Neurospora crassa OR74A: one gene and its partners. The protein of the gene in region 5 purifies or fractionates together with the protein of the main gene of each other region. This does not show direct contact. Links are inferred from orthologs where the notes say so. Each region holds a gene or a part of one and is shown on either strand. Other genes may lie near its edges.

The links.
Region 1: the proteins of NCU01793 (region 5) and NCU04799 purify together in Saccharomyces cerevisiae (affinity purification with mass spectrometry; 3 studies listed by BioGRID, with this or other methods). This does not show direct contact. The link is inferred for Neurospora crassa OR74A from reciprocal best matches to the Saccharomyces cerevisiae genes YRA1 and PAB1.
Region 2: the proteins of NCU01793 (region 5) and naf-1 purify together in Saccharomyces cerevisiae (affinity purification with mass spectrometry; 5 studies listed by BioGRID, with this or other methods). This does not show direct contact. The link is inferred for Neurospora crassa OR74A from reciprocal best matches to the Saccharomyces cerevisiae genes YRA1 and NAP1.
Region 3: the proteins of NCU01793 (region 5) and NCU00210 purify together in Saccharomyces cerevisiae (affinity purification with western blotting; 7 studies listed by BioGRID, with this or other methods). This does not show direct contact. The link is inferred for Neurospora crassa OR74A from reciprocal best matches to the Saccharomyces cerevisiae genes YRA1 and CBC2.
Region 4: the proteins of NCU01793 (region 5) and NCU06678 purify together in Saccharomyces cerevisiae (affinity purification with mass spectrometry; 4 studies listed by BioGRID). This does not show direct contact. The link is inferred for Neurospora crassa OR74A from reciprocal best matches to the Saccharomyces cerevisiae genes YRA1 and XRN1.
Region 6: the proteins of NCU01793 (region 5) and NCU06226 purify together in Saccharomyces cerevisiae (affinity purification with mass spectrometry; 3 studies listed by BioGRID). This does not show direct contact. The link is inferred for Neurospora crassa OR74A from reciprocal best matches to the Saccharomyces cerevisiae genes YRA1 and RPL25.
Region 7: the proteins of NCU01793 (region 5) and NCU08501 purify together in Saccharomyces cerevisiae (affinity purification with mass spectrometry; 3 studies listed by BioGRID, with this or other methods). This does not show direct contact. The link is inferred for Neurospora crassa OR74A from reciprocal best matches to the Saccharomyces cerevisiae genes YRA1 and TOM1.

What each region holds. Positions count from the first base shown.
Region 1 is NC_026506.1:863,652-867,894, reverse strand, and holds the start of NCU04799 (polyadenylate-binding protein), read left to right. Parts: upstream 1-1,185; 5' UTR 1,186-1,599; intron 1,600-1,832; 5' UTR 1,833-1,855; coding exon 1,856-3,987; intron 3,988-4,045; coding exon 4,046-4,208; 3' UTR 4,209-4,243. UniProt on the Saccharomyces cerevisiae protein: Binds the poly(A) tail of mRNA. Appears to be an important mediator of the multiple roles of the poly(A) tail in mRNA biogenesis, stability and translation.
Region 2 is NC_026505.1:4,745,783-4,750,167, forward strand, and holds naf-1 (nucleosome assembly protein), read right to left. Parts: upstream 2,868-4,385; 5' UTR 2,594-2,867; coding exon 2,547-2,593; intron 2,470-2,546; coding exon 2,390-2,469; intron 2,312-2,389; coding exon 1,592-2,311; intron 1,535-1,591; coding exon 1,209-1,534; intron 1,144-1,208; coding exon 1,093-1,143; 3' UTR 389-1,092; downstream 1-388. UniProt on the Saccharomyces cerevisiae protein: Acidic protein, which assembles histones into an octamer (in vitro). Involved in the regulation of the localization and the function of the septins during mitosis. Involved in the function of B-type cyclins.
Region 3 is NC_026503.1:3,018,438-3,021,994, forward strand, and holds NCU00210 (nuclear cap binding protein subunit 2), read left to right. Parts: upstream 1-1,591; 5' UTR 1,592-1,782; coding exon 1,783-1,851; intron 1,852-1,949; coding exon 1,950-2,071; intron 2,072-2,159; coding exon 2,160-2,553; 3' UTR 2,554-3,034; downstream 3,035-3,557. Other genes in the region: NCU00209 (hypothetical protein), read right to left, coding at 1-248; NCU00211 (mitochondrial ribosomal protein subunit L31), read right to left, coding at 3,096-3,148, 3,219-3,448, 3,521-3,557.
Region 4 is NC_026505.1:4,232,047-4,236,396, reverse strand, and holds the start of NCU06678 (exonuclease Kem1), read left to right. Parts: upstream 1-1,424; 5' UTR 1,425-1,989; coding exon 1,990-1,994; intron 1,995-2,079; coding exon 2,080-2,173; intron 2,174-2,241; coding exon 2,242-2,548; intron 2,549-2,607; coding exon 2,608-4,350. UniProt on the Saccharomyces cerevisiae protein: Multifunctional protein that exhibits several independent functions at different levels of the cellular processes. 5'-3' exonuclease component of the nonsense-mediated mRNA decay (NMD) which is a highly conserved mRNA degradation pathway, an RNA surveillance system whose role is to identify and rid cells of mRNA with premature termination codons and thus prevents accumulation of potentially harmful truncated proteins.
Region 5 is NC_026502.1:2,392,417-2,396,982, forward strand, and holds the start of NCU01793 (RNA binding domain-containing protein), read left to right. Parts: upstream 1-1,626; 5' UTR 1,627-2,111; coding exon 2,112-2,342; intron 2,343-2,403; coding exon 2,404-2,433; intron 2,434-3,270; coding exon 3,271-3,435; intron 3,436-3,494; coding exon 3,495-3,818; 3' UTR 3,819-4,566. Other genes in the region: NCU01794 (hypothetical protein), read left to right, coding at 483-653. UniProt on the Saccharomyces cerevisiae protein: RNA-binding RNA annealing protein. May have a role in pre-mRNA metabolism. Component the TREX complex, which operates in coupling transcription elongation to mRNA export.
Region 6 is NC_026503.1:1,964,876-1,968,473, forward strand, and holds NCU06226 (60S ribosomal protein L25), read right to left. Parts: upstream 2,288-3,598; 5' UTR 2,112-2,287; coding exon 2,087-2,111; intron 1,861-2,086; coding exon 1,796-1,860; intron 1,718-1,795; coding exon 1,425-1,717; intron 1,364-1,424; coding exon 1,276-1,363; 3' UTR 785-1,275; downstream 1-784. Other genes in the region: small zinc finger protein Tim8, read left to right, coding at 168-343; NCU06227 (hypothetical protein), read left to right, coding at 2,691-3,598. UniProt on the Saccharomyces cerevisiae protein: Component of the ribosome, a large ribonucleoprotein complex responsible for the synthesis of proteins in the cell.
Region 7 is NC_026502.1:3,442,928-3,446,711, reverse strand, and holds part of NCU08501 (E3 ubiquitin-protein ligase TOM1-like protein), read left to right. Parts: coding exon 1-2,457; intron 2,458-2,509; coding exon 2,510-2,572; intron 2,573-2,627; coding exon 2,628-2,765; intron 2,766-2,824; coding exon 2,825-3,784. UniProt on the Saccharomyces cerevisiae protein: Probable ubiquitin ligase protein involved in many cellular processes, such as transcription regulation, maintenance of nuclear structure, cell cycle, mRNA export and rRNA maturation.

The DNA of each region.
Region 1 (4,243 bases), on a different chromosome or scaffold from region 5:
GACTTCTTGATTGAGTGATTGTGGTGTCCGCCGTGCCAATTGCTGCGCTAACGGTGGTGGAGGTAGTCTTGATATATGAATATCTTCATACGAGTTCCTTCCTTTTCCAGATGAACCCAGCAGCAACTCGGGTGGGACTGGTTCGGGTATTTGTATCAAGCCGATCTTGACATCTTGTTCTTTTCCATGTTAGACTTGACCCGGCACAGGGACCAATCACCACAATGGGACCAACCTCAACAGACAGCAGCCGCCATCAGGACCAAAACCTTTTCGTCGAAATGTTAGGATGTGTCATTACGCTCGAACTGTTCGAGTACCCAAGATGCCCTGTTCCAGACTTTGGTTTTTGCCGCTGGCTAACCAGTATATGACTGCAACATCCTGGCAGGTCATCCGGCCAAGTTGCCCCATCCAAGGTTCCGTGCGCGGCTTTGCCAACAATGTCTTTTTTGCAGGTGAAATGGACTGCGAATGCTGATACTCAGGACATCCGTTTTACTTCTCTATTTTTGTCTGGTGTGAAATATGCCCGTGGCACGAATGCAGCAGCAATGCCGTTTGCTAGCGGACTTCCAGAAAGGTAAGGCGGTCGTTAGCATTGTTCCATGGTGATGGGACAGATGCCAGCGACCCAGTGCCAAAATCCGGCACACCGCTGTAACCTATTGCATCTTCAACTCCAACCGCCAACTGAGATGGAATGTCCCGTGATTCAATACAAGTGAATCTCGCCGGTTTATACCAAATAGGTACGGCTGAAACGCAGGGTTTCATAACAACCCTCCAGGGTTCATGAATAAGTGCCCATGTCTGCCTGTTGTTGGCATGAGTCGTCGTCAGCCATGGTCGACCACAGTACCGTAAGTATGCTTGATCTCAGGTGGTGGCCCGGGAGCAAGTGGAAGTGCCAGGCAAAGTTGGAAGTCGCACGTTTCGCTGGATCTCCGGTCTGGTCTGCAGTCTGCACAGGTGGATGGATGCCTTTATGCGAGAATTCCTGGCGGGTCCTATCGATAAATCAAGGTTTTGCAGCCCATGCCACCCCGATACCCGCATGCCCTGACCGCCCTAGCCGCACTTCACCGGCTACGAGGGGCGCGGCACAGTGCGCAACCACAAGATGCGTGGGCGGGAAAGAAAAAAAATCTGACCTCCGCATTAAGACGTGAGCCATCCGGGCGTCGTTGCTTCTTGCCCTCTTTCTCCTCCTCTTCTTTCTTCAGCGGACCTCACGCCCTTTATCCTCAGGAAACTCCTCCAAACCGAAGCCAGAAAGAAGTCAGATAAGTACGAACATTTACCCTCTCGGTCTCTGTTCTATCTACTTCTTGTCTGTGACAAACAAAACCTCACCAAAAAAATTTGAAAATCGCCGAAAAAAGAGAAATCCCCCCCATCCATACAAAACCCCATAAAACCCACCAAATCCACCCACCTTTTTTGGAAGACATTTACCCAAGTCTCCAAGTCCACCAGTCTTCCTCTCCCTCTCCCGAATCTCGTCCTTGACCAGTCGAGTTCATCCTCCCTCTTTGTCAATACCGTCGCCCGTTCTCCGCGCCGGTTTTACTTGCTCCACACAACTCTAGATCTCGGGTACGTTGCTCGTCGCACTATCAATTCCTCCTGCCTTGCCATCGTCGTTGTCGTCGTCGCCGTGGCCGCCGCCAGTGCCGCCCGCCCAACGTCACGTCAATTGAGACTTGTCCTCTCCTCCTCCTTTCCGCTGTCGTCGTCGGTCGACACATCGGTTACCCCTCGGCGCCTTGATCAGAGACACAGACACACACAAAAGGATACGGACGCTGACAGTTCCATCCATCATACAGAATCTACAGTTTAACCAGCAAAAATGGCTGCCACTTCTACCGCCGCTGTCGACCAGCTCGCCGCTGACCTCGGCAACACCAGCCTCGACAACAAGGCCGCTGCCCCGGCCCCCATCGACACCAGCGCTGTCCCCGAGGCCCAGGCCGAGGGTGCTGAGGCTGCTCCTACCCCCACTGCTGCCCCTCACCCCCAGGCTTCCGCCTCTCTCTATGTCGGCGAGCTTGACCCCTCCGTCACCGAGGCCATGCTCTTCGAGCTCTTCTCCCAGATCGGCTCTGTCGCCTCCATTCGTGTCTGCCGCGATGCTGTCACCCGTCGCTCCCTCGGCTATGCCTACGTCAACTACAACACCACCGCTGACGGCGAGAAGGCTCTTGAGGAGCTCAACTACACCCTGATCAAGGGCCGCCCTTGCCGCATCATGTGGTCCCAGCGTGACCCCGCCCTCCGCAAGACCGGTGCCGGCAACATCTTCATCAAGAACCTCGACGCTGCCATTGATAACAAGGCTCTTCACGACACCTTTGCTGCTTTCGGCAACATCCTTTCCTGCAAGGTTGCCCAGGATGAGCACGGTAACTCCAAGGGCTACGGTTTCGTCCACTACGAGACCGATGAGGCTGCCTCCCAGGCCATCAAGCACGTCAACGGCATGCTTTTGAACGAGAAGAAGGTCTACGTTGGCCACCACATTCCCAAGAAGGACCGCCAGAGCAAGTTCGAGGAGATGAAGGCCAACTTCACCAACGTTTATGTCAAGAACATTAACAACGAGGTCACCGACGAGGAGTTCCGTGAGCTCTTCGCCAAGTTCGGTGAGGTCACTTCTTCCTCCCTTGCCCGTGACCAGGAGGGCAAGTCCCGTGGCTTCGGTTTCGTCAACTTCACCACCCACGAGGCTGCTGCCCAGGCTGTTGATGAGCTCAACGGCAAGGACTTCCGTGGCCAGGACCTCTACGTCGGCCGTGCCCAGAAGAAGCACGAGCGCGAGGAGGAGCTCCGCAAGTCCTACGAGGCTGCCCGCCTCGAGAAGGCCAACAAGTACCAGGGTGTCAACCTGTACATCAAGAACCTCGGCGATGATGTCGATGACGACAAGCTCCGTGCCATGTTCTCTGAGTATGGCCCCATCACCTCCGCCAAGGTCATGCGCGATTCTCTGATCGAGGGCTCCGAGGAGAAGGATGAGAAGGACAAGGAGAACAAGAAGGAGGGTGAGACCAAGGAGGAGGAGCAGAATGAGGGCTCTGAGAAGAAGACTGAGAAGAAGGGTGACCGCAAGCTCGGCAAGAGCAAGGGCTTCGGCTTCGTTTGCTTTAGCAACCCCGATGATGCCACCAAGGCCGTCACTGAGATGAACCAGCGCATGGTCGATGGCAAGCCCCTCTACGTCGCTCTTGCCCAGCGCAAGGATGTCCGCAAGAGCCAGCTTGAGGCCAGCATCCAGGCTCGCAACCAGCTCCGCATGCAGCAGGCCGCTGCCCAGGCTGGTATGCCCCAGCAGTACATGCAGGCTCCTGTCTACTACGCTGGTCAGCAGCCTGGTTTCATGCCCGCCCCCGGCGGTCGTGGCGTCCCCTTCCCCCAGGGTGGTATCGTCCCCGGCGTTCAGGGTGGTCGCCCTGGCCAGTACCCCTACCAGCAGGGTGGCCGCGGTGGCGTCCCTCCCCAGCAGATGCCCCCTATGGGTTACCCCATCAACCAGTTCGGCCCTGGTGCTTTCCCTCCTAACACCCCTCAGTACATGGCTGCTATGGGCCAGGTTGGTGCTCTTGGTGGTGGCCGTGGCGGTCCCGCTGGCCGGGGTCCTCAGGGCATCCCCGCCGGTATTCCCCAGGGTCTCCAGGGCGGCCCTGCCGTTCCCGGCTACCCCCCTGCCGGTCGTCCCCAGAACGGTGGCGGTCGCGGCACTCCTCGCGGCAACGCTAACTTTATGGCTGCCGGCCGTGGTGCCTCCCCCATTCCTGGCGCTCCTGCCGACCTCAGCGCTGGCTCTTTCCTCCAGGCTCAGCTCGCTACCACTCAGGATCCTCAGGCCCAGAAGCAGATCATTGGCGAGAACCTCTTCCCCAAGATCCAGGCCATCCAGCCCGCTCTTGCTGGCAAGATCACCGGCATGCTCCTCGAGATGGACAACGCTGAGCTGATCAACCTGTAAGTCTACATGTCTATTCCTGACTCTTCTACATATCGCTAACCTGTCTCTCTGTAGGTTCGAGGATGACAACGCTCTTAACGTCAAGGTCCAGGAGGCTCTTGCCGTGTATGACGAGTACCTCAAGACTCAGGGCCAGCAGCCCACCCAGCAGCCCGCTGAGGCCAACGGCGAGCAGCCCAAGGCTGAGGAGCAGAAGCCGGAGGAGCAGAAGGCTTAAATGTGCCCTGAGCGATGGATGATTTCCCACGCACC
Region 2 (4,385 bases), on a different chromosome or scaffold from region 5:
AATATGAGATGTGGCGTGTGTTCTTCCCATGCTATCCGTACTTCCCGTCTTCTTGCCCGGGCTCCTCTTTTTTTTCCACCTCAGGAGAAGAAGGACTCGCAAGAATCGAGCTGACTGTCCGCACAATGTATAGGAAACTGCCACAGCGACCTGACATGGCTTTGTTGTCCCCTTGACTTTGTCCGAGCCAGTATGTTTTCATGTAGACAGCTTTCACTCGATTCAGCGCAGATGGTCTCTTATTTCTCCTCGTGTCCCGAGCACTGAATAGTGTAACAACTTCCCGGGTTCCATTATTTAGTTTACTTCCAAGTCTCGAGGTACTTACTACCTACCTTCAAACTCGACCGGGAGCCGCCAAGCTTGCGTGTCAGTAGAGACATCGCCAACTAAATTTCCAGAAGCCCAGCTCCCATCCTTCAGGCCTTCCAGGCACGCACTGCCTCAGCTCGGCGACTCTTTCGTCCGTTGAGGTTTACTCTATCTACATCACGCGAGGCTAACAAGGGTCATGACGATTTACATCCATCTGAGAACTCCTTGGAGAAGTCATCCGCCCCTGGTGTCGTGGCCTAATGAACTTGACAGTCAGACAGTCTACATCGAGTCACGCTGTTGGATGACGGTTTGTGATGTAGAAACACCTGCAATGCTGTACTATGAAATCAACACCTAAATCCTCCTAGAATCACTGCTTTTGTCCCGTATAATATCATCCCTTTACGCACAAATCGACCCTTGTTCCGGTTTAGTTCGCATATCTGCTCCCATCCTTGCGCTCTGACGTGCCACTGCTTCAGGGGTCAGGACGAACTATCCTGCTAAGACTTATGAGAGACAACCACAGCGTCAAGGCAGGTGCTGAAGCCAACTCCTCATGTGACCAATTCAAATTCTGTAGAATGGTTATCGATCCACCACAAGCTCCGGCCATCCGCACACTCCTGTTCTTCCTGAGCCCACGGCCACCCCGGTGCGGTCATGCATGACCCTCAATAATTTGGAACTCAGACGCCAAATGTCATTGGGCGTTCTGCCCCTTGCCTGCGTGGTATAGTGGTATCATTTTCGTGTTCATTCAGCGATCAGCGTTTAGCTCTGCTTGCACTCAGCAGCCTCCTGCTTGGGCTTGCTGCCGTCCTCCTGTGAAATTTGTCAGCATACCTGCAGAGCATAGCATGTGTTGGGGAAAATTCAGAAAGTCTTACATCGTCTTCATCGCTCTCATCCTCGTCATCCTGGTCCTCGCTGGCATCTTCATCATCCTCATCATCCTCATCATCGAACTCGGCGTCCTCGAAGTCCTCCTCATCGAGCTCCTCAAAGGCGAGGGCCTCGCCAGTGAACCAGTCGATGGCGCGGGGAATAAGCTTCTCCTTGATATCCTCACCGAGCTGGTAGTCGAGCTCAAGACGCTCCTCAATATCGGAGGTGGTAGACTCGTCGTCATCAGTGGGGGCCTTAGGGGGGGAGAAGAAGTTGAAGAAAGACTCGGTAGGAACGGTCTTCTTGACGATGCGGGTCTGCTTGGTGGCTGTGCAATTTGTTAGTGAGCAAGTTTGAGAAAATTCAAGCTGGAACTGCAACTCACTCTTGTTGCGTTGCTTCTTCTGCTCAACGCGGACAGTAAGATCCTTGTCCTCCTTCCAGTTGATCTTGTCACCCTCGGCGTGATCGTAGATAAAGTCGCCACCATAGCCGCTCTCGTTCTGGTAGTAGTAGGTCTTGGTGATAGTCTTGTTGGTGAAGTACTCGTTCTCAGCGAACTCGAAGATGAGGCGGAATCCGGGCTTGTCAAGGTACTCCATGCGGATGTCGGTAAGGGACTTGAGGGCCTCCTCGTCGCGGTCGGTGATCATCTCGGCGAGGGAGATCTGGTTCTTCATGGCAGAGAGCCAGAACTCGGGGATACCAGAGACCTTCTCGGCAGACTCGGTAGCCTTCTCCTCCTGGGGGGCGGCCTCGGTCTCCTCATCCTCCTCCTCCTCATCCTCCTCACCGGCCTGGACCTGGTCCTCAGTGGGCTCAGTCTGGCCGTTGACAATGGCGGCACGCTGTTGGTAAAGAGGAGTGAACTTGGCAAAGTACTTCTTCTCGAGCTGGAGGACCTCCTCCTGGAACTCGGCCTCGAGCTTGGAGTGCTCCTTCTGAATGCCCTTCAGGCCAGCGACACGACGCTTGACATCGGTAGGGAGAGACTCAATGTAGCCGGACGAACGACCGACAAGAGAGCCGAGACGACCCTGGATAAGGGACACAAGTCTAGGGTCCTTGGCGAAGATGGAAGCGGCGGCGGCACGGTCAAGATCCTCTGCAACGAACAGTAAGTTTAGCGACAAGCCCAGAAAACTACCAAATAGTCTCAGCAGCAGCAAGAATCTTCACTCACCCTCCTTGATGCTGGCAACACCGGGCTGCTGAGCGTGCGACGAGATGGGGGCAGTGTTAAGAGGAGTGTTCTGGGGGGTGCTGAAGCGAAGGCTGGTCAGTAACGGTACGCGATACTCGGGATGGGCATCCCATCAAGTCTGGGGATGAAAACTCACGGAGCGATGGGGGGATCAGCCCGCTTGTTTCTGATGGGCTCGGCCATTGTGTCTGGTTCTGGTCAAGAGAAGGAAATGAGTTGGGATACAGAGAAGGAAGCGGTGGTAGAACCCTGCGACCGACGTACAGTGGATGTCGGAGGGAGAAATGGGAGAAGGAAGGGCAAATTTGGATTGAAGAAGCGGTCGGGTGTAGAGATTGATGAAGGGGCCCCGGTGCTGGTGGGAAAGGCAAAAAGTTCTGTGGTTGCCGGTCGGTCCAGGCAGAGAAGGCTTGTTGTGCAGCAGTGCAAGAAATGTTGAGCGAGGGTCGGGTCTGGAGGGGACCGGGAGGGGAGAAAAGCTATCAATGGGGTTGCTATGAAAATTTGCGGGGCACTGGCCAGTGCGGGCAGGACAGTCGGGTCGAGGGCACTGCAGCGGGAGGCGCCCCGTTGGACCACTCCATGATGCCTGCACTGCGCCGGCGACCACCCAGCCCCAGTCCGCTACTTCCATTTGCTGCCCATGAGTCTTGTCGCTTGCCCTACACCACCACCTAGAGGTATTTGACCTTCAATTCTATTCCAGCATAGGCAAGGTGCCCATTGTCATGGGTCACGTCTTTTTAGGGTCAAGCTCCTCCTGTCACTTGTTTGACTCTACACTCGGCCATTGCATGCCCGGTCTGCTCGTCTGAACTGAAAATCCCCTCAGGTACCTACGCCTAGCCAGATGAACCTAAACATGCCATTGTTGTTCTTATCGTACAAAGCCCGTTCATGTACATCGCATTCAGGTAGTGTATTTCCAGGTTGCCCGTCGCGCGTCGCTTCCTGGCACCACATGCTTCAGCATTTGGCTGGCGTGTCTTGCGTGCTAGCGTTCTCTCCAGGGATCCCGGCCAGAGACATGATGTAGGGTAAATGATATTGGTGACATGCCGGCTTCATATACACAAGTTACAAGGTACCTCATAGGTGCAAGATAGTTTAGAAGTTGCTTTTCGTCTGAACTGCGAGCTGCTAATATTGGACGGGTGTTTACATCTCGCCTTCTCACCGGCGTCGGGCTGCGGTGATTTGCTTCTAACGTTTAGGGTCTCTCAACTCAATTAGGCCTCCAGAGCCGGGCAGGTTTTGGAAGGCAAACTTGAAAATTCTGCTGATTCACTCTGTCCTCAGCAAGTCAAAACCTCATCAGCAGAGGCAACTTGACGCACACTTTTCTGCTTATGACTTCGATTATGAGTCGACGCTGGGTTCAGCGACCATCATCGGACCGATCTGAACCATCATGGCCGTAGACCGTCGTGGGCGTCCAACCTAAGTCCAGGTGAGATGCTGCAGTGACCCCAGTACACGACGTACGGGCACGTATGGAGCACGTTCTCTCACGTTGTGGTGTAGTGAGACCGCTCGCGGCATCTGCCAAGTGATCATCGCGATGCCCACGAATCTCCATCGCCAACTGAAGCCGACAAGGTTTGGGCCAGAATGACCCTTGTTGCACTGTGCTTATCGTAAAAATCGTGGATAGCGACCCCCATCTCCGCCATCGACCTTTCTGGCTAGAGGTATGTAAGTAGGCAAGCGTTAGCGGACATGCTTGGCATTCGATTGGCGGGCAGTGTTGAAAGAAAAATCCCATGCCTGTGACTGCCCCACTTGCTGACTGCCCGTTGGGACGGTCTGGCCCCGATCCTTCTCCGTGACTCCGGCGTCCAGGTCAACAAATGTGAAGAAGTCAGACAAGAGGATTCTAGCTGGAGTCCATCATTCCCATCTCCAGTCATCGTGCGGAAAGCCTGATCCACTCACTTGAATGTACAAGATGGTAAGGGAAGTATCGTGGAAGTTA
Region 3 (3,557 bases), on a different chromosome or scaffold from region 5:
GTCCGTGACTGTTGGGCCTCCCAGGCGTCTTTGAGATCGGCAAGATCTCCCCATCTGATTTCCCTTCCTCTGGCAACAAAGACCTCGTTTCCTCGGTGTGCGATGGTGCGATTGGGTCCCTGACTGGCGTTCCTGGAGGAAGCTATCGAAGCGGGGAGCCGGTTGGTTTCCTCGGCCTGCTCAAAGAGCTTATGGCCGGGGTTTGGCTCCTGGAGCCAGGGCGCCGAGAAGCTCCGGATTTTGGGCATCCCGACTGTGCTTGGTGGTTTTGTGCTAAGAGCTGTCTGTTGTCGCTATACTATCCAACTCGAGCCTGATGAATCCTACAGATGACGGTGGTTCGTGTGGCGCAATGAAAACCGAAGTTGGTGTCTGGCTAGGCAGAAATAGTAGCTTGTGTTGAGGTCCTGCTATGTCCTAGCATGCACGGGCCGGTTTTTGTCGTCGTGCTGCACTTCGCTTTCTCTGCTGAAGTAATGTATGTAGGTGGGGAGGTAATTGGCTATGTAGGTAGGCAGGCGCACTATGGTCGAGGTACGTATGTATTTGATGTACCGGTACTATTAATGTGATGGCGGTTCTCGGTTTTTGAAGATGAAAAAAAAAAAAAAAAAAGGTGATCAAGAGCAAGTAGAACAGAAGCCAAGGGAGGGAAGACAAGGAGAGAGATTGGGATCCCTTTTTGAAGTGGCAGGCCCCTCGATCGATCCCATGGGAGAAAAAGCCAGGAAAGCGAAGTTTGCTAGTGGTCTCGGTTGGCTGGTCAGGATGGTAACAACAAGGTTTGACTAGCGTGTAGTGCTACGGACCTGATGGATGCCCGTGGATGGACGAGTGCTGGATGCCACTATTGTCCAGTCCGAGCCAGTGCTGTAAATGAGGCGTCCAGGGCGTCACTAGAGGCGTCCGCTTCCGTGCCTATGCCGTATATTTTCCGTTGCTTGCCTTGATCGATCGTGTTAGCTTCATTTTAGCGCGTTTCCACTCCTTCCACAGCCCTTTAGTCCGTTTCAACTGTCCGCCGGTGTTCAGTCCAGACCGTGCTCGCCGCCTCGTCTCACACCATCGGTCATTGATCAACAGGAGACAGGCAGGCCGCCCGGGATGAGAGGGGATGGAATGGCCGAATGGAGGTCTTAACGGAGACCTAGCTGTATACATACTATAAATGGTAAGCCCGAGGTAGGTACAGTTGTGCTGTGACGCGCCTGTAAATTGGGTGCCAGATTGCGGTCCAATCGGCTGGCAATGGTTGTTGGATCAACGACAAAGCGCCTCCACCAAGTCCTCCTGCCCTTGCTTCCATCGCTCTGCCCTTGCCTGCCGTCGTCATATTTGCGGGCACCTCGTAAGATAGGGTACCTGACCCACCACCAACGGCTTCCGTCGCCCGTTACAGTGCCAAGACTACCTGGATTGCCATGCAGTGATGTCCGATGCACTGTGACACTGTGCGCCAACAGGACTAAGTGTAACTGACCTGAGCTGAACTGAACTGTGAACGAAGCCTGCAGTGCTGCTGTCGCGGTACACGGGCACACCAGTCGCGCTCAGAAAGTAGCTGCGCCTGTACTTCCACTTTAGCGGGCAACCTAAGTTACCTCTTAGGTAGGTCCAATTCCATTGGCAAGGGAAACCACTGCATCATCCCCATCGACGTCTCAGAACTCCAAACCATTGAACTTCCACTTGGGCTGACAGCTTTTGATTTTCCTTCTTCTTCGCAGTTGCAGGGCACCTTTCACCCAAGAGCAGATAATCCATCTTCACTACCAGGTAACCATGTTGAACACTCGCCAAAGGAGCACCGTAGAGCGCCTTGACAGGCCAAGTGCATACTTTTTCAACAAGGTGAGTGCTCCTGACGGCATTTCCATGCCCAAACATTGCCAATCTCTCCTGTCCATAATTAGCACCCCGTCGACCGCTGACCCATCCACTCAACACAGAATAGGCGCAACAGACGTCACGACCGGGACCACCGCGATGGAGAAAACGAAGACAGTAACATGCATCCCGAAGCGTTCGATGACCCGTTGAAGGATGCGACCACGCTCTACGTCGGCAATCTGCAAGTTTGCCCCACGCTGCCAGTCCTTAATTAAAAAAATCAAAAAAAAATCAAAAGAAACAAGAACTAACCGAATGTACCTCGGCAGTTCCTTCTACACTACCGAAGAACAGGTTTACGAACTCTTTAGCAAATGCGGCGAGATCAAGCGCTTGGTCATGGGCCTCGATCGCTTACAAAAGACACCGTGCGGTTTCTGCTTCGTCGAATACTACACCCATCAGGACGCTCTCGATTGCATGAAGTACATTGGCGGCACCAAGTTGGACGAGCGCATCATCCGAACCGATCTCGACCCAGGCTTCGAGGAAGGGCGACAGTACGGCCGTGGAAAGTCGGGCGGCCAAGTTCGTGATGAGTACCGTGAGGACTACGACGAGGGCCGCGGTGGTCTTGGCCGGCAAATCCAGGCCGAGAGAATGAGGGAGCATGACCACAAGCGCTACGACGATAACGACGAACAATACGGCCGCTTGCGCTAGAGTTGTCATTGCATGGGAGTTACGTGGGACAATGAGGGAGTGCATCATGATCCAGTGCACAGATATTCAACCAGTCGTCATGACAAATCGACACAAAATATGCAAGCCGGCTCTGAAATTACGAATTTTGTTCATTCAGGGCAAGTGGAGGCGGAACAGAGAAGCGTAAAAGACAAATACCCCCTTGGAAGACATGATATTCGTTGTTGTATTGGTATCTTGCTATGGTATTTCGGGAAATTATTGATTTCCCATCCATTCGGTATGGCTCCACACATTCTTCTGTGATGCTCGCCTGGCCGTGTTTGCGCTGCTCTCTGCAGTGGTATCTCAACATGGAGCGAGCAGGAGTGTCCATGATGGACAGGACCTCCAAGTCAGTCAGTCTCTTTGCGAGACGAGACAGGAGGCCTCCTCTTCTTTGCCCCAAGCAAACGGTCCTGTTAGCGGTATCTCCAATGTCACCCATGCCATTTCGCTGCGTAATGTTACAAGTGATATACATGCTTGCACGATATCGTCCATCGTCCGGGTCGAAGGTCTTAGTAACCGGGAGGGTTGACTCTCTGGGACACACGGGTCCACTTGGGAAGCTCTGGAAAAGGAATGCCGTATTAGCCTTGGTCTTTGACTGCTGTGAAGTGATGCACAAGGGTGGCCCGTACTGTGGATGCCCTTGCGGTACCTCTTCTCCTTGCGGTCGAAGATGGTGTACTTGTCCTTGGGCAGCATCTCGGCCTCGGTGGGCATCTCAGCCCTCCAGCGTTCCACCGCCTTGACGGTCTCACCCTTCTTGGCAAGAGCGTTCTCAATGGTGGCGACGACGTTGTCAACGGCCCTCAGTCTGCGGCGCTGCCTGAGCTTCTGGAACTTGGACATGCGCCATGGGATCTTCCTGTTTGCCGCGACATGATTAGCATTTCCGGTAGAACCTTTGGCGCAACTGCAACATAGGGTAGTCGCTTACCAAAGAAGACCCCCGGAGAGGGGGTTGGTGAATCTGA
Region 4 (4,350 bases), on a different chromosome or scaffold from region 5:
GAACTACGGATTCTAGATTGATATTTTGTTAATACTTCCTTAAACCCGATGAAGAATATTAAAGAGGTTAGAAATTGGACTTTAAAAGATAGTTGTGGCTAGTATAGAATGCCTTCGCCTGGGTTCGAATTCCCAATAGAATACCTCGATAAGTTTTATCTCTCTAGGGAGGAATAGTTCCAGAGGATGTTCGTTGCTAATGGTTAGTATAAGTAAAGCTTGTAATTATATGCGTATTGGGCTATAGTACCCCTCGATCTTCCTTAGGTTATTTTTTTTTTCTTTTTTTTTTTTTTCTTTTTTTATATTATTATCCTTAGGTTATTATTTACAACTAGTTTCATGTGTTGTCTTTATTTAGAGCCGGAATTAAAGTTTTTTATTTTTTTTTCGTTATACTTTCTTATTGTTATATTTATATTAAGGAATATATATTTTATACTATTATATCGAAATAGTCCTAAAGGAGGCGTATTTGGGGTAGCCTGAGGTGAATATTCTTATTGGCTACCTATACGGTACCCGTACTCTAATTTTCTTATATACCTAGGTTAGAGTTTTAATTTACAATTATTAGAAAGGGAATAATAGGAATTACTTCTATAAAGAATACCCGCCACTTAGGTAGCTTAGATAAGTAATTTAATATAGCGCTTTCTCCCCTACTACCTACCTCTATCAATATAAGTGTAATATTGATTGAAAATTGCTGTGAAATAATTGTAAGGCTTTTGTTACTTAGAATAGATATTAATTGTTGAATAAATAAATATAATTAAACAATTATTATATTAATAAGAATATTAGCTTGCAATTAGCAATTTAAGTGAGTATATTTATTATGTTGTATATTTTGTAGTTCGGGTCGTATTGTTGTGGTACAGTTCGCTGTTGTCGTACTTTTGTGCGCTGTTGAACGGTTAATTCCGTTTTGTATACAATACCGCGTTAATAGTCGTTGTACTATTAATTAAAACTACGTATTGTAAAATAAAACCAACTTCAATACAACAATATTCAATTATCTAGTAGATTACAGTAAGAAACAATATTGTGTAAGGATGTTGTAGCCCACAACCCCTGCTCAAGCGTTTTATACTATAAAGGCCTGCTACGCCCACTTTTGTCAGACCCCCCATTCCCTCCAGGGCAGTTCCGTTCCGCTCGTCGAGGGCGGAGGCTCGCTTGAGGTTCGTTACCTTGAGGTTCAGTAGTAGCTGGTGCGGGGAGAGAGCTGACAGTGACAGCCGGGAGCCTGATGAGGTGGCGGAGCGCTCACTACTGGCCTGGCCTGGCCGGGCCGAGCGCTAGTACCTAGCTCTAGAGGTACCTCTACCTCTACGACCGACGCTCACGCCGCCCCCAGGCACACAGTCAACCCGCGTGGGGCAACGGAGGCCAACTAGAAACTGCAGTGTGTCACAGCCTGAACACCTAGCCAGCCCGGAGCCCAGGACCCGACACCTTCTCCGTCCCATCCACACCTCTGACGGACCTTCCACTTTTGTTTCTCTTGCGGTTCCATCTCGTAGACATCACCCACTTCTTCCTTTACCTCCGTCTATCTCGAACATAGGCCGCCAACGTCCTAGGCCACTCCTCGGATTCTCAACCTTTCCGCTTTTCTTAGCACTATAGTAGCTTCTTTTCCCGATTGGCGCTGTCGGTTGCTCCAAGGACACTCCTCTTCTTCCCTTCCATAGACAGCATCTTCAGTCTTGGACCTTGCTGCTTCGTCCCCCCTCGGTTTATTGCACCATTGCGATCCCTGGAGGCTTCGCTATCTAGAAACCCGGCCATTATTATTCAGTGCCGGCATTTGAACGACCAGCTTGACGCCTCTCCTTCGCCCCCTGACAGCAGTAACTAAGTAGACTCCCCGTCTGCGACATCTCCTGCGACCGCTCAGCGCGCCCCAATTTCAGACCTCCTTCGCAAACTTCTAGTAGTGTACACATCTAGTCCGGCACCACAGGCCACTTAGTCAACATGGGGTATATGACTCCCACATCAAAGCTCCTCCCTCGCCGTATACGCGCGCGTTGTTCAGGCGTGTGGCTAATACCCCCTCTTGTCCAGTGTTCCCAAGTTCTTCAGATGGCTCTCGGAGCGGTATCCCGCCATTTCTCAGCTCATCGCCGAGAACCGTATCCCCGAGTTCGACTGCCTTTATGTTCGCTGCTCCCTCCCGAGGCCTGATGGCTGTCTTGCGTTACTTGCCTAGCTAACCGGTTTGCTCAGTTGGACATGAACGGTATCATCCACAACTGTACCCATAAGGACACGAGCGATGTACAATTTCGCATGACAGAGGAGGAGATGTTCATTGCTATATTCAACTACATCGAACATCTCTTCGGGAAAATCAAGCCCAAAAAGCTTTTCTTTATGGCTATAGATGGCGTTGCCCCTCGCGCAAAGATGAACCAACAGCGTGCTCGTCGTTTTCGTACCGCGCTGGACAATGAGAAGGCTAGAGATAAGGCGATTCGTGAGGGCAAGGAATTGCCCAAAGAAGAACCTTTCGACAGTAACTGCATCACACCTGGTATGTCTGGCGCTGGTGCCCGCTTGAATGTTTTCCCCGGAGGCTAACTAGCTGCATAGGAACCGAATTCATGGCCAAGCTCTCGCAACAGCTGAGATATTTCATCCATAAAAAGGTCTCGGAAGACAGGGACTGGCAACAGCCCGAGATTGTCTTGTCTGGACACGAGGTCCCTGGTGAGGGTGAGCACAAGATCATGGAGTACATCCGCAATGCGCGCGCTCAACTCGACTATGACGCGAACGTCCGTCACTGTTTGTATGGCCTCGACGCCGATCTGATCATGCTTGGCCTCCTCAGCCATGACCCTCACTTCTGCCTTCTGCGCGAGGAAGTTACCTTTGGCCGCGGCCCGTCTAAGCATAAGGCAAAGGGACTGGAGGAGCAAAACTTCTATTTGATGCATCTCTGCATAGTCCGCGAGTACCTGGAGCTGGAGTTCCAGGATCTCAAGAAACCTGGAGCCATGTCTTTTCCATTCGATATGGAAAAAGTTATTGACGACTTCATTCTTATGGCATTCTTTGTCGGAAACGACTTCCTTCCCAACCTTCCGCGGCTTCACATCAATGAAGGCGCTCTTTCGCTCATGTTTAGGATCTACAAAGAAATTCTTCCGCGCGGCGACGGATATATCAACGAGGGCGGTAAGGTCAACCTCCAGAGACTCGGCCTGCTTCTGGAAGAACTCGGCAAGGAGGAGTATCGCTTTTTCGAACATGAACATGAGGATCAAAGCTGGCTTCGGGCCAAGAAGATGCTTGAAGATAACGAGGCAGAGACAGCAAAGGCAAAGACCAAGGGCAAGCTCATCGTCACCACGAACCAGAAGAATCTCTGGAAGCAGAAGATCAGGAAATTCCTTATGAATAGGAGCACTAATACGCTTGACCTCGGTACCGAGTTGAAGGCCGAGGACCGCAAGTTTGTCCAAGACTTGGCTGATACTGCTCACATTCCTTGGGCAACTAAGGAAGATGACGAGGGACACCGCCACCTAATCCTGTCCTTCCCCGAGAGAGACGACGAGTCGGAAGAGGACGAGGAAGCCCAGTCAGCCGTTCTCCGTATCATCAAGAAGTACGACAACGCCCAAGTCCTGGATTTAACTGCGGCCGACTCGAAGGCTGCCATGGAGGTTAAATACCAGCAAAAGTTCCAAGAGTGGAAAGACAAGTACTATGCCGAGAAGTTTGAGGATTGGACCCCAGAGAACAAGGAGGACGAACTCCGCAAGTTGACGGAGAATTACGTCCAGGGTCTTCAATGGGTGCTCTACTACTACTACCGTGGTATTGCTTCTTGGCCCTGGTTCTATCGCTACCACTACGCTCCCCTGATTTCCGATGTCATGAAAGGCCTGAAAGCCGACCTTAATTTCAAGATGGGTCAGCCGTTCAAGCCATACGAGCAGCTGATGGGTGTCTTGCCAGACCGCAGCAAAAAGATCGTGCCGACAGCATATTGGGATCTTATGACAAACCCCAATTCTCCCATCATCGACTTCTACCCAAGAGACTTTGAGCTTGACATGAATGGCAAGAAGATGGATTGGGAAGCCGTTGTCAAGATTCCCTTCATTGACGAGAAGCGGCTGCTTGCAGCAATGGGCCCCAAGAACGAACTTCTCTCGGACGTTGAGAAGTCGAGGAACGATTTTGGCGTCGCACTCAAGTTCACTTATTCCGATTCGGTAGACTTTGAATACCCTTCCTCCCTTGTCGGAATCTTCCCGCCCATTCCCCACTGCCACTGTATCGAGAACATTTTCGATCTTCCGCCCGTGGAGGGACTGGAATATC
Region 5 (4,566 bases):
CGCCGCCCGGGATTTAAAGCGCTGGGGTGTCCGCCCACAGAAGCCCTGACGTTGGTCCGGGCAGCGCAGCCGGTATACCTAACGAAAGAAGAGGTCCTTCCTTCAGCTTGGGTCCGTCCACGTGACTATCGGATCCTCTTGTAAATGAACGGATGGAGATGTACCGATACATCGATGCTGCGTCGCGGCCCTCAAGGTGGAAAGCTGTCCATAACACCCGACAATCGGCATCATCACTTTCGAATTTGCGGTCCTCCCGGCGCAGAACAGCCAGTGCGATTGGCATCACCAAGAAAAAGTGAGCACGGCATTTTCTTGTCTCTGTCCAGCCGTCTGATTGACAGCTTTTTGAGCAGCAGAACAGCGCCCTTTGGACCCACTTGAACTCCCCTCCAAGCATTGCGAGTCGCAACAAGTCTACAGCTACCAGTTACGGCACCGAACGAATACCCAACACAGACTTTTCCTACGCCAACGACACAATGATTTCTGACGCCGAACTTTACCGTCTCGCCATCGTTCTCGGGTGCGCGGCCATGGTTCTTATTGTTCTCCACCACTTCCTCGAAACCAATGCCGAAGATCTCGAAACCGATGTTGTCCAGGAGAAGAAGGCAACAAAGGTGGCATCGGCCCCGACCAAGGCAAAATAGGACACAGCGTCCGCAAAATTGTACGGTACGAAGACAGAGACTATATTTCACAAACGGCACGATACAGCTTGTCCCGCCCTTGGGACATCTGGTTGGGGCGAGGCCGAGAAGGACAGGAGACAGACGGCCTACAGAACACTCTCTTCTACTGAGGGCAGAGCAGGACAGAGCTGGTCTGGGGCGCAACCGATATGCAAGGGAAGGGAACCCCGGAATCACAAAAGGAATACAGGGACATAGCATTAGGAAAGTAACGAGGTTTCGGGCCGAGGAGGATTGAATGGGTCAGAGTCGGTTGATACCCCATGGTTGACCCAATGCATAGGAGCAGACTCTTGCACTGGATTTCAGTTTTTGTTCGGATCATGGTGTATCATGTCACCAGTTAAGTAGCAGAAGGGTGCCAAGCGCTCTGGGTAGCATGACTGACTAATAATATGGTTTGTTCTTTTGTTATGTGCAAAGGGGTCGTTCTTTGTTTCCGCTTGTGAAAGAGCTCAATTGCAAACGTCCCTGAAGAAGCAAGTGGAAGCTTGGAGTGTGTGGGATAAGAACATCCATAAACAAGGACACACAGCTCCAAAGGGTCCCTGAAAGTGGTGACGCGTCTCGGAGAGTTGGCTATGTGTCCCGCCATCGCAGGTACCGGTACCATAACAGAACGGCCCAGCTGCGTCAGGAGGGATGGGTCTAGCCCCAAAGAGATTAGCGTACCAATGAGTGCCATCAGCCAAAGCGATTGCCACAAGGCTGTGATTGGCCATGACTGTTCTTTCCCCTTCTGAGCGAAGCCAAAGCGGTGGGGTGGCCAGTGCGGCAAGGATCCCGTCACGTTGGATGTTGTTCAGGACAGGCGCGTGTGGCCGCAAGTTAGTAGTGTATGGGCGGGAGCCTGCTCAGCCTGCCAAGCCTTGACGAAAGCGCAGCGAGGTGGCTCCGGTCCCCGTCGGTTCTCCCTCAAATTCTGGGCGGACACCGGTTTCTACTCCCTCCTCCGCCCCCCCCTCGTTCACCTCTCTCGCCCATTCACCACTTTATCACCCAAACAACACCACCTATTCCCCAACACAACCTACTATCACCGCCAAAGCCAAAGTCCATCACCGATACAGCCCATCCGCTCAAGACCCATATTCTTTTCATTGCTCGCAGGACTGCATCCAACTTCGTCAGCCTGACCACGTCCATTTCCACTTGCCATTCGAGTCGATCAGATCACAGTGTCGCTGCACCTTTTCCGTTGCAGCGCGACCCTTGCTCCGCTTCGACTTCACGCGACCTTGCGCTACCAGCGAGTCGTAACCTGACCTCCCTATCACTCTTCTGCCCAACGCGACCTTCGCCAGCTCTACTGCGCATCTGAGCCCGTCCGCGCTTCCTAATCTCTGAAGCCACCTTGACCACGCGTCTCGTCTTTCTCACCACTTCTAAATCACTTTCCAGCAACCCACCGCCATAATGTCCGGAAAGCTCGACCAGTCTCTCGACGAGATTCTCTCCACTCAGCGCCGCGGTAAGTCCAACGCCCGCGGCCGTGGAGGTCGCCGCTCGGCTGGCGGTAAGCCCACCAATGCTGCCCCCGCTGGCGGTATCCAAAAGAACACAAAGCCCGCTCGCAACGCTGCCAAGCCGGCGCCCGCAAAGAGTGCTGGTCTTACCGGCGAGAGCAAGATTGTCGTGAGCAACCTGGTGAGTCGCGTCCTCCAGCTTTCTCCTGCGTAGCATCCTTCACCGCTAACTCCCATCGCAGCCCAAGGACGTTTCCGAAGGCCAGATCAAGGTATGTTATTACCGATGAGGCCATTTAGCCTTCGGACTTTTATCGACATCCCTCTTCCGTGGCGTATCCAATCGGCGTCGTTTTCTCCACTGGGCGGTCGGGACGGTCGTTTATTGCAAATCGGCCCTAGGCCATCAAGACTGCCGTTGATTGCTCCTCCCTGACGTGTGTCATTACATTTCGTCATGTTGCGAGTTGAGCAGATCGCAGTCACGCTCTCCCCTCCTTATCATTGTGGTGGCTGGCAAGCGCCTCTGGTTCGGAAAGGGACAAGCAGTGCAGGATCCGGCAGACAAATCTTGTATGGGAGCCTAGCTGGGGGGTCATGCATCATCTCTTCCTGGCTGGTCACCTTGAAGTCGATCTTTGCACCCCAGCGCGCCACGCAGTGAGCGATGTTCGAGGCTCTGTTTCTCATGTCCTGGTTGGACGATTTCTGGGGGGTTTTGGTCCATCAGGGGATTTACAACTCCGGGGAACCGGGGTCTAGCATCGTGGTTGTTCGGGAATTCTACGAGAGGACGGCATCACATCAACTGGACCATGCTTGGATTGTCTGGCATAACTGGATCCCTTCACACGTCCTACTGCTTTACGGGCTGTGGGCCCAGACGCATCGGATCGTATGGATGGCTCTAGTGAGTGTTGGATTTTCGGCTCACCTGCCAGTTGCTGGTGTTGCTGACCTGGAGATTACGCGCGCTGCTCTGGCTATATCCTGGTTTTGGGCCGGCTCGAGATAATGCCCTAGCTTTGACCGATTTGAAACCGAACCGTTACGAACACGACCACACTGAAACTGGCGCACGACGCTAACCACGAATTACCCTGTGATAGGAATACTTCCAGCAAGCTATTGGACAGGTCAAGAGGGTGGAACTTTCGTATGGGCCCGGAGGCACTAGCCGCGGTATTGCTCATATTACCTTCCACCACGCCGATGGTGCTACCAAGGCGTACAACACTCTCAACGGTCTCCTGATTGACAACCGCCCGGTCAAGGTACGCTCATTCTCCATTGTATGAATCTTCTGGTTCTGGCTTTTCTAACGTTCCCCTAGGTCGAGGTCGTTGTTTCCAATGCCGAGTTGATCCCTCAGCCCAAGAGCCTGACTCAGCGTATCACACAGCCCAAGGCCCAGCCCAAGTCTGCCGCCACTGTCAAGCATGCCGCCAACGCCCCCAAGGGTGCTGCTGCTGCTAAGCCTGGCAGCAAGAAGGGTCCCCGTCGCCCTCGCAGCGCCCGCCCTGCCAAGAAGACCGTCGAGGAGTTGGATTCTGAGATGGCTGACTACTTCGAGAGTGGCACCACGGACAACGCCACCGGAGCCGCGCCGGCCGCTGCCAACGGTGGTGATGCTCCCATGGAGGACGAGATTCTTTGAACGAAGGGTATGCATGAGGAACAGCAACAGTCGATGAGAGCGAATGCCAGCTTCAGCGACAACTTTGTTTGACGGATTTCGGATTGTCTATGATTGTTTTACTATTTTATTTCGGGTTCGGGCAGGGTCTACAGCTTAGGTCAACAGCTTGATGAAATTTTCTCCAGACTCACGACGACCTTCAATTATCGCCTCTCCACTATTATTCTATTAGCGAATGCTGTATGACCTGCGACTGGTTCGCCGCGACCTACCATCTCGCTCCTGTCGTTTACGGTCCCTCTGATGGAAGATGGATTGCGGCAGGACACGTCTGCCAAAGGGCCAAGGGTCACAATTTGGTGTTGTTATCAGCACTTTGTCACTTATCCTTTGGTCGCCTGTTAAGCGTCTTCCCCTCCCAGTACCCCAAGGCGATGAATATAATTTCGAACAAATAGCTCGCCTCTGCTACTAAATTGTTGGAGCGCAACGGACATATATGTCAGCGAAGCGGGAGCAATATCCACAGTGGTCCTTTTCACATCGCAAGTCACGACCAAATCTAGCATGCGCAGGGCGTTGCCTTTCTGTACTTTACAGAGAGCTACACCTGCGGAGGGTAAATTGTGCATCCCAAGACCAGAAGAGAAAGCTCAAGCAGCTAGATCAGCGTGGATCGAGGACCCTCGAGCGCTTCCGGGCAAGAAAAAGGCGGAAGTTAATGTCATAATGCCCCGAATTCTGCCACGAACGTAAACAGTGCTTC
Region 6 (3,598 bases), on a different chromosome or scaffold from region 5:
CTCGCTAAGCCTACCTACCACTTCCCTCTTTCCCCCCTCCCATAACCATAACCAAAACCATACCCTCTCTCTGTCCCCTCCCCCTTCCATATGCTTCTTCCCACATTACTCTACCTCCCAGTGGTTATGTACAACAGATAAACTAACATGCTACCTCCCACGTGTAGAGACCCACGCCCTTACCGATTCCTGCTGGAAGAAATGCGTCACCTCCCCCATCAAGACCAACCAGCTCGACAAGACCGAGGCCGTCTGCATGGCGGACTGCGTTGAGCGCTTCCTGGACGTCAACCTGACCATCATGGCCCACGTGCAAAAGATCACCAGGGGTGGCAGCAAGTAGGTCTCGCGCGCCGATAGGAAGGCGTGGGAGGATGCTTATCAGGAGGAGGAAAAAAGATGAGAACGGGACAAAAAGAAAAGAGGAGGCAGAGGAAGGAGGATGGCGAAAACGGTGACTTGTTTCCCTTGAGGAACTGGTTGTCCCGCGGGGCTGGCTGGCTACGTTTTTCGGTTGGCTGGTCCTGCTTGGTGGGCTTCTTGGGAGACTTGGAGGATGCGGCCGAGGTATCCGACGCTTGTTTTCATGGTGGTTCTGGCTGGGTCTGGTACACTCGGGCTTACTACGACGGAACGGGGGTACAGAGAAGCACCCTTTGCTAGGGAACCTTTGTTGATCCCTGCGATAGGGCTTGCGATTGAGGTTCTGGTCACAATTCTAAGAGACAGTCATTCGAGGAATTGTTACGGTTACGCCTGAAGGCTTGTACGATATATGTGATGGGACAGGGGAAGGATCAAAGGTAGAACTGGAAGGGAAAAGGGTTTATAGGGCATGGGAATTTGTTCAGGAACTTAGACAGTATGACAGGCGGTTCTTGTAGCATGATATGGGAGCGCGCGATAGCGGGATACTCATCTTCATCTTCAAACACAGACCCAATGCGCAGTGCAGGATAATTGGTTATAGAAGTGCAGATAACAATGCGACAATGAGTCCATGGTGATAGCAAGAATACAAGATGTCAGATTCAAGTCTTAGAGCAAGTAGATCTATGGCTTGCAAGGGAGGAGTTTGGATAATGGCCCATTTGGTCATGTCTGATGGAACGGGCAGAATAGTTATAAAAACTTTCATTTCCATGCCATGGACCAAACGCCAAAGGGGTATCAGACGCCGACTTCTTTTTCGTTAAACAGTAAAACCCATGTATCCCTTGAAGATAGTTTTTATCCCGAATCTTGTGTATTTCCCATAGCTATGAAATCGCTAGTTTAGACAAGGCCGAGCTTGGTGGCAGCAATGTCGAGGGCATCGACATCGGCAGTGAGGCGAGCGAAGGCCTTCTTGGAACCGTCAGGGCTGTGAGTGGAGTTAGCAACAAGAACCATATTAATGCCGGTCCATAGGGACCAAAACTAACCGGATCAGGGTGTTGATCTTGACGGTGTCAATGTCATAGAGCTTCTTGAGAGCCTGCTTGATCTGGGCCTTGTTGGCCTTGACATCGACGATGAAGACGAGGGTGTTCTGCTCCTCGATCTTCTTCAGGGCACCCTCGGTGTTGAGAGGGTGGACGATGACCTTGTGCTCATCGAGACGGGGCTCGTGAGGGATCGACTTGCGAGGGTACTTGGGAGCCCGAGACAGCTGAAGAGTCTTGGGGCGGTGGAAGGTGGTCGAGTATCTGACCTTGGTCTTCTTGTGCGAGTGCACCTAAACAGAGAAAAAGAACTCTAATCAGCATCAGAACGTCACCAGGGGGGAAGGGATCGCGAGTCGTCGCAAACTTACACCCTTGAGGGCAGCCTGGGCAGCCTTCTTGGCCTGAGCGCCCTTACCGGCCTTAGAGGCACCGCCTATCCATAGAGTCCCTCGTCAGCAAAAGCATTCGCCTGGAGCAAGATGATGCCAGAATCTTGTCCAAACTCGCAAAGTCTGCTGCTGCTTTGGTGCATCACCTCCGAATGCCATTGCGCGACACGGAGGATCCGCATTGTGCGCGGGGCGAGCATATTTGTCGAGCCGTTCAATTCATTCTTGGTGGAATCGTCGCTGGTGAGATTTTGAGGTTTCTTCAAGTACCTTTCTTGGTATCCTTAGGGGCCATTGCTGCGATTTCTGCTGTCGTCGGGCTAAGAAATCGGGATTCTCGCTGGTCGTTGTCGGAGAGGAGAAAGTTCACTTTTTGGCCAAAATTTGGGGGAGGAAAAAGTGTGCGCGCGGGATTTGTGTGGCTTGGTAGTGTGGCTGAAGTGGTACTGGCAGGGGTTGAGCTGCGCAAACTGGCGCAAACGGGCTCTGAACCACACCAGAATATCCACTTTCGCGAAATATGCTCCACAGTATTTTGAATCTCGACCTCCGATCATCACTTTATCGCTACGCACTCCGTCATTCAACCTTGAAGGTCATGATGCGCCCTCCGATCCAGCTTTCCTCCTTCTGCTCGTGGTCTGTCGGATGAAGTCGGTGCAGGACACCTTGGATTTTCACAGCTCCAAGCCTCGCTGTTCTGTGCCTATCACGACCTCCAGACAAGGACGTGGTGTAGTTGTCTTGCTAACTACAGTGTCACGAACCACCAATCGAAATCGAAAACCAATCTCACCGAGACGGATCACAGTATCGACAAGATCGACTATTTGCGGCTATATACTTGTTACAGCATAGCACGCGACGAAGGACTATGGCACCCAAGAAAGGAGTAAGCAAGAACCTTGCAGCTGGGCGTCCGCCCATGGCTACGCGACCTAAGAAAAAGGGAGTGGTCAAAAACCTGGCAGCAGGCCGTCCGCCCACGGTCACAAAGCCCAAGTCACTTGCGCGGAAAACCACGAAATCCATCATCAACAAACTCCATCTCCTAGAGAAGAGGAAGGTGCAGGCTATGAAGAAGAACGATAACACACAGGTCGCGGCAATTGAGGCGGAGATCGAGGCTTTGGGTGGTATCGAGAAATATCAGGAAGCAAGTCTCCAGGGGCAGAGACATGACCGAGGCGGCGACAGCTCCAACGTGCTCATGGAGTGGGTTGGGCCGTACCTCTCATCCGAGGAGTATAAGGAAGGCCGCTTGCGCATGCTGGAAGTTGGAGCGCTGAGTACAAAGAACGCATGTGCTCAAAGTAACCATTTCGACATCACTCGGATCGATCTCAACAGCCAAGAGCCTGGGATTCTTGAGCAGGACTTCATGGAGCGCCCGTTGCCGAAGGACGAGTCGGAGAAGTTTGACATCATCAGCCTTTCTTTGGTGCTCAACTTTGTCCCAGACCATAAGGACAGAGGCGAGATGCTGGTCCGCACGACACAATTTCTAACATCGCCGAAGCGGTTCTCCGGGACAACCGCTGCATTCTTTCCAAGTTTGTTCCTTGTGCTACCGGCCCCATGCGTCACCAACTCGCGATATCTGGATCAAGAGAGGTTAGCGGCTATTATGGAATCGATCGGGTACGAGATGGTGGAATCCAAGACAACCCAACGGCTGGTCTATTACCTGTGGAGGAGAACATCAGATCAGGTTGGAAACGACAGGCCGTTTCGCAAGGAAGAGCTACGTTCTGGCTCGTCACGCAACAACTTTGCCATTAC
Region 7 (3,784 bases), about 1.1 Mb from region 5:
CGCAGCCCCCTGATATCAAATGGAAACAGCCCGTGAAGGAGGATGATCCAATTGAGGAGTCGGTCATCGAGGTGAAGGAGCCCAACTTCTTGGCCGAGCACCGCTCGTCTCTCTTGACAACTCTGTTGGACTTTCTCCCTCGCATTGGCAAAGAAGAGTCATTGGCTGTTTCGGTGTTGAGAATCCTCGTTGTGCTGACCAGAGATCACGCGGTAGCCAAGATTGTTGGGGAGAAGAAGAACCTGCAACGGCTGTTTGTTATGGCAAAGCAGTTGTGCGGTGCCGGTTCCACGCGTCTCAAGCAGACTCATATCTCAGAACACATCCGCCAGATCCTTCGACACATCATTGAAGACGAAGAGACCCTTCGGCAGATTTTTGAGACGGATATCAGGCACCTCATGACTTCGAGGCAGAGGCCCAGCGCAGCCCCGGGCCTTGAACCACAGGCATACCTGCGCACTCAAGCGCATTTAGCTCTGCGGTCGCCCAAGACCTTCGTCGAGGTTAGCACGGAGCTGCTCAAGCTTAACCGGGCCGTTTCGCACTTGGGAGACGGAACGCTGCGCTCCACGCCATTTTTGGTTCTCAAGGAGCGCCCTGCAGATGCTAGTGTCTCGCCGAAGGAGAGCTCAGTCGAACCTGCAGTGCAAGCGACAGAGGATCTCACTATCAGTGACGTCAAGCCTTCAACCGAGGTGACGGACAAGGATATGCACGATGCCCCTAAGAACCCCGCTCAAGACCTCAAGCGGCCGATTCTCGAACATCCCGACGGTGTTGTTCACTTCTTGTTGACCGAGCTGCTCAACTATAAAGATGTTGACGAGAGGGAGAACGTTCCTGCGCCTCCCGCAGCCGCCTCCAAGCCAGAATCTGATGCCACTGCTGCGAATGAGGCTACTCCTTCTCCTTCCGGCGATGAGCAGAATTCGGAGTCGAAGGAGAAAGAGAAGAAGCTGGCCAAGTCCCCGTTCAAGGCCGAGGATCACCCTATTTTCATCTATCGTTGCTTCTTGCTTGACTGTCTTGCCGAGCTGTTGCAGAGCTACAATCGTGCCAAGGTTGAGTTTATCAACTTTAAGCGCTCCGCCCCCGTCCAGGCGAACGCTCCGGTCAAGCCTCGATCCAGTGTGCTAAACTACATTCTCAACGATCTTCTTTGCTTCAGCCCCGCAAGCGGAGTACCCGAGTCGATAGCCATGAAAAAGAAGGCGGCAACGGCAGTGCCAGCGCGCGCTGTTCTGGTTGCCCTTGTTTCCAAGACCGGCGAGAAGCCTCAGAACCGTACCCATGAGCCATTTGAGTATGACGATGAGCCGGACTTGCTCTTTATCCGCCGATTTGTCCTGGATACCATACTTCGAGCTTACAAGGATGCTTCTGTCTCCGGCGAGCCGGCTGATATTCGATACGGCAAGATGAACGCTCTTGCAGAGCTGATGGCCCAAATGATTGGCGAAGGAGACAAAGATTCGCGCCCCAACAACCCGCGCGGTACAGATCCGTCAATCGGACGGTCCCAAGCTCAACTGAAGCGACTCATGTATGAGAAGGGTTACCTGACGTCCCTAACGGCGTCCATTGCCGATATTGACCTCACATTCCCGCACAACAGGGCTCCGCTCAAGCCCATCCTTGCGGTCATCAAAACACTCTCAAAGACTGCAGTCTCGATGAGTCAATTGGGGCTCATCCCTGCTTCGGGTACAGCTGGTACCGACCAAGCCGAGGACGAATTCCTGTCCGATGGGTCGTCCGTCTCGGAAGATCTCACCGATGATCGCGAGGAGACGCCCGATCTTTATCGCAACTCCACATTGGGCATGCTTGAACCCGGACGTGATGATGAGTTCTCCGACGAGGACGAGGATGATGATGAAGACATGTACGACGATGAACAGTATGACGATGAGCTTGACTATGGCGACGACATGTCACAAGACAACGAAGACAACCCTAGTGACGAAGAAGACGACCTCGGCGAGATGGGCGAAATGGGAGGAATGCCCGGTCAACCTGGCGTTGTCGAGGTCCTTATGGGTGAGAACGACGACGAAGAGGACAACGATGACATGGATGACATGGACGAGGATGATGAGATGGACGAAGATGACGAGCAGGAACTTAGTGACGAGGATGAGGACGAGGAAGTCGGCTCCGAAGACATGGATGACTTGGAGGACGATATCCACATTGTTGATGAAGAGGGCAATGCTATTGATGACGACGGTGCGTCGTGGGATGATGGCACCGACGAGGATGAAGAGGATGAGGAAGAGCTCGACTACGAAGCCGAGGCTCAGAATATGCAGGAGGCTCAACTTCACAACCGTCGGACCTTCCCCGAGATCATGCGAGCTGCCATGGAAAATGCTGGCGATGATCTTGATGCTGAGCCAATTCGCGACTTTGATGGGCACTACATCGACGATGATGAAGATGGCGAAGAAGACGGTAAGTTCCCAAGATCCTTTGGAAGAGTGAGCAAGACGGCTAACTCCAATAGATGATGAAGATGAAGGGGAAGACGACATGGATGATGACATGTACTTCGACGGCGATGGCCTTCGTAAGTAATCAGAACGAATTCCTTTACCAGACCTGGTAGCTGACACGAGAAGCAGATGATGACTTGCTTGCGCCCAACATGCCATCAGGGCTTGGCTGGGACATTGCCATCGAACCCAACCATCGACATCGACCGTCCCGAAGCCCTTGGCCCAACAGTCCTTTCGTGGTCGGAAGACACCGTGACGCGATTGGTAAGTTCCTTAAATCCTAGGATATCATCTTCTTGTTCAGAGTGTTGACGATTTGTCAGACTTCCAAAACTTCTTCCGCCGCCCTGCCCATCTCAGCAGACATCTGCCCCCTCCGGCCGACGTCATGTCTGGAACAAATCCCCTGTTGCTTCCTCAGTCTCGTCGTGAGGTTCCTCGTCATGCACACAGCCAGCTGGTTCGTCTGGGGATCACTCCGAATATGATTGGAGGCCTAGGAATGGGTATGGGGGTGGAGCCGTTGGCCTTCATCAGTGATCTCGTCCAACACCTACCCGATGTACGTCTCAGCGCTGGAGGAGGACCCTTGGCCTTGCATTTCACAGCAGACGGACCGGGCGGGATTATCCGCGAACTCAACGCCATCCCAATTCCTCCCCCGCACTCCCGCGAATCACGCCCTACTGAAGCTCGGCGCGATACCTATCAGGAACCTCATCAAGCCGTCCAATTTTCACCGGAATCTACACATGAGAGGTGGCAACAAGAAGTCAAGATGATCTTTGGCTTCGGCTACCAGGACAAAGCTCAGAAGCTCGCACCTCTCATTCTTTCCAAGCTCACGCCGGCAGCAATCCAGGCTGAGAAGGAGGAGAAAGCTCGTAAAGCGGAGGCAGATCGCAAAGCAGAGGAAGAGAGGAAGAAGCGACAGGAAGAGGAGCGCAAGAAGAGAGAGGCCAAAGAAGCGGAAGAGAAGGCTGCGCGTGAGAAGAAGGAGGCAGAGGAGCGTGAGCGCCTTGAGCGCGAACGAGCCGAAGCTGCCGCACAGGCCGCGGCTCAAGCCGCCGCAGATCAAGAGGCAAATGCTGTGTCTCAAGAGGCGCACCCTATGGAGGGCGTTGAGACTCAAGGCCCGGGCGAAAACGCCGAGCAGCAGGCCGAAGATGAACGTCCTCGTGTCTACTACACTCTCCGTAACCAGCAGATCGATATCACTGAGCTGGGCATCGATGCCGAGTATCTTGAAGCCCTTCCTGAAGAGTTCAGGGACGAGGTGATCG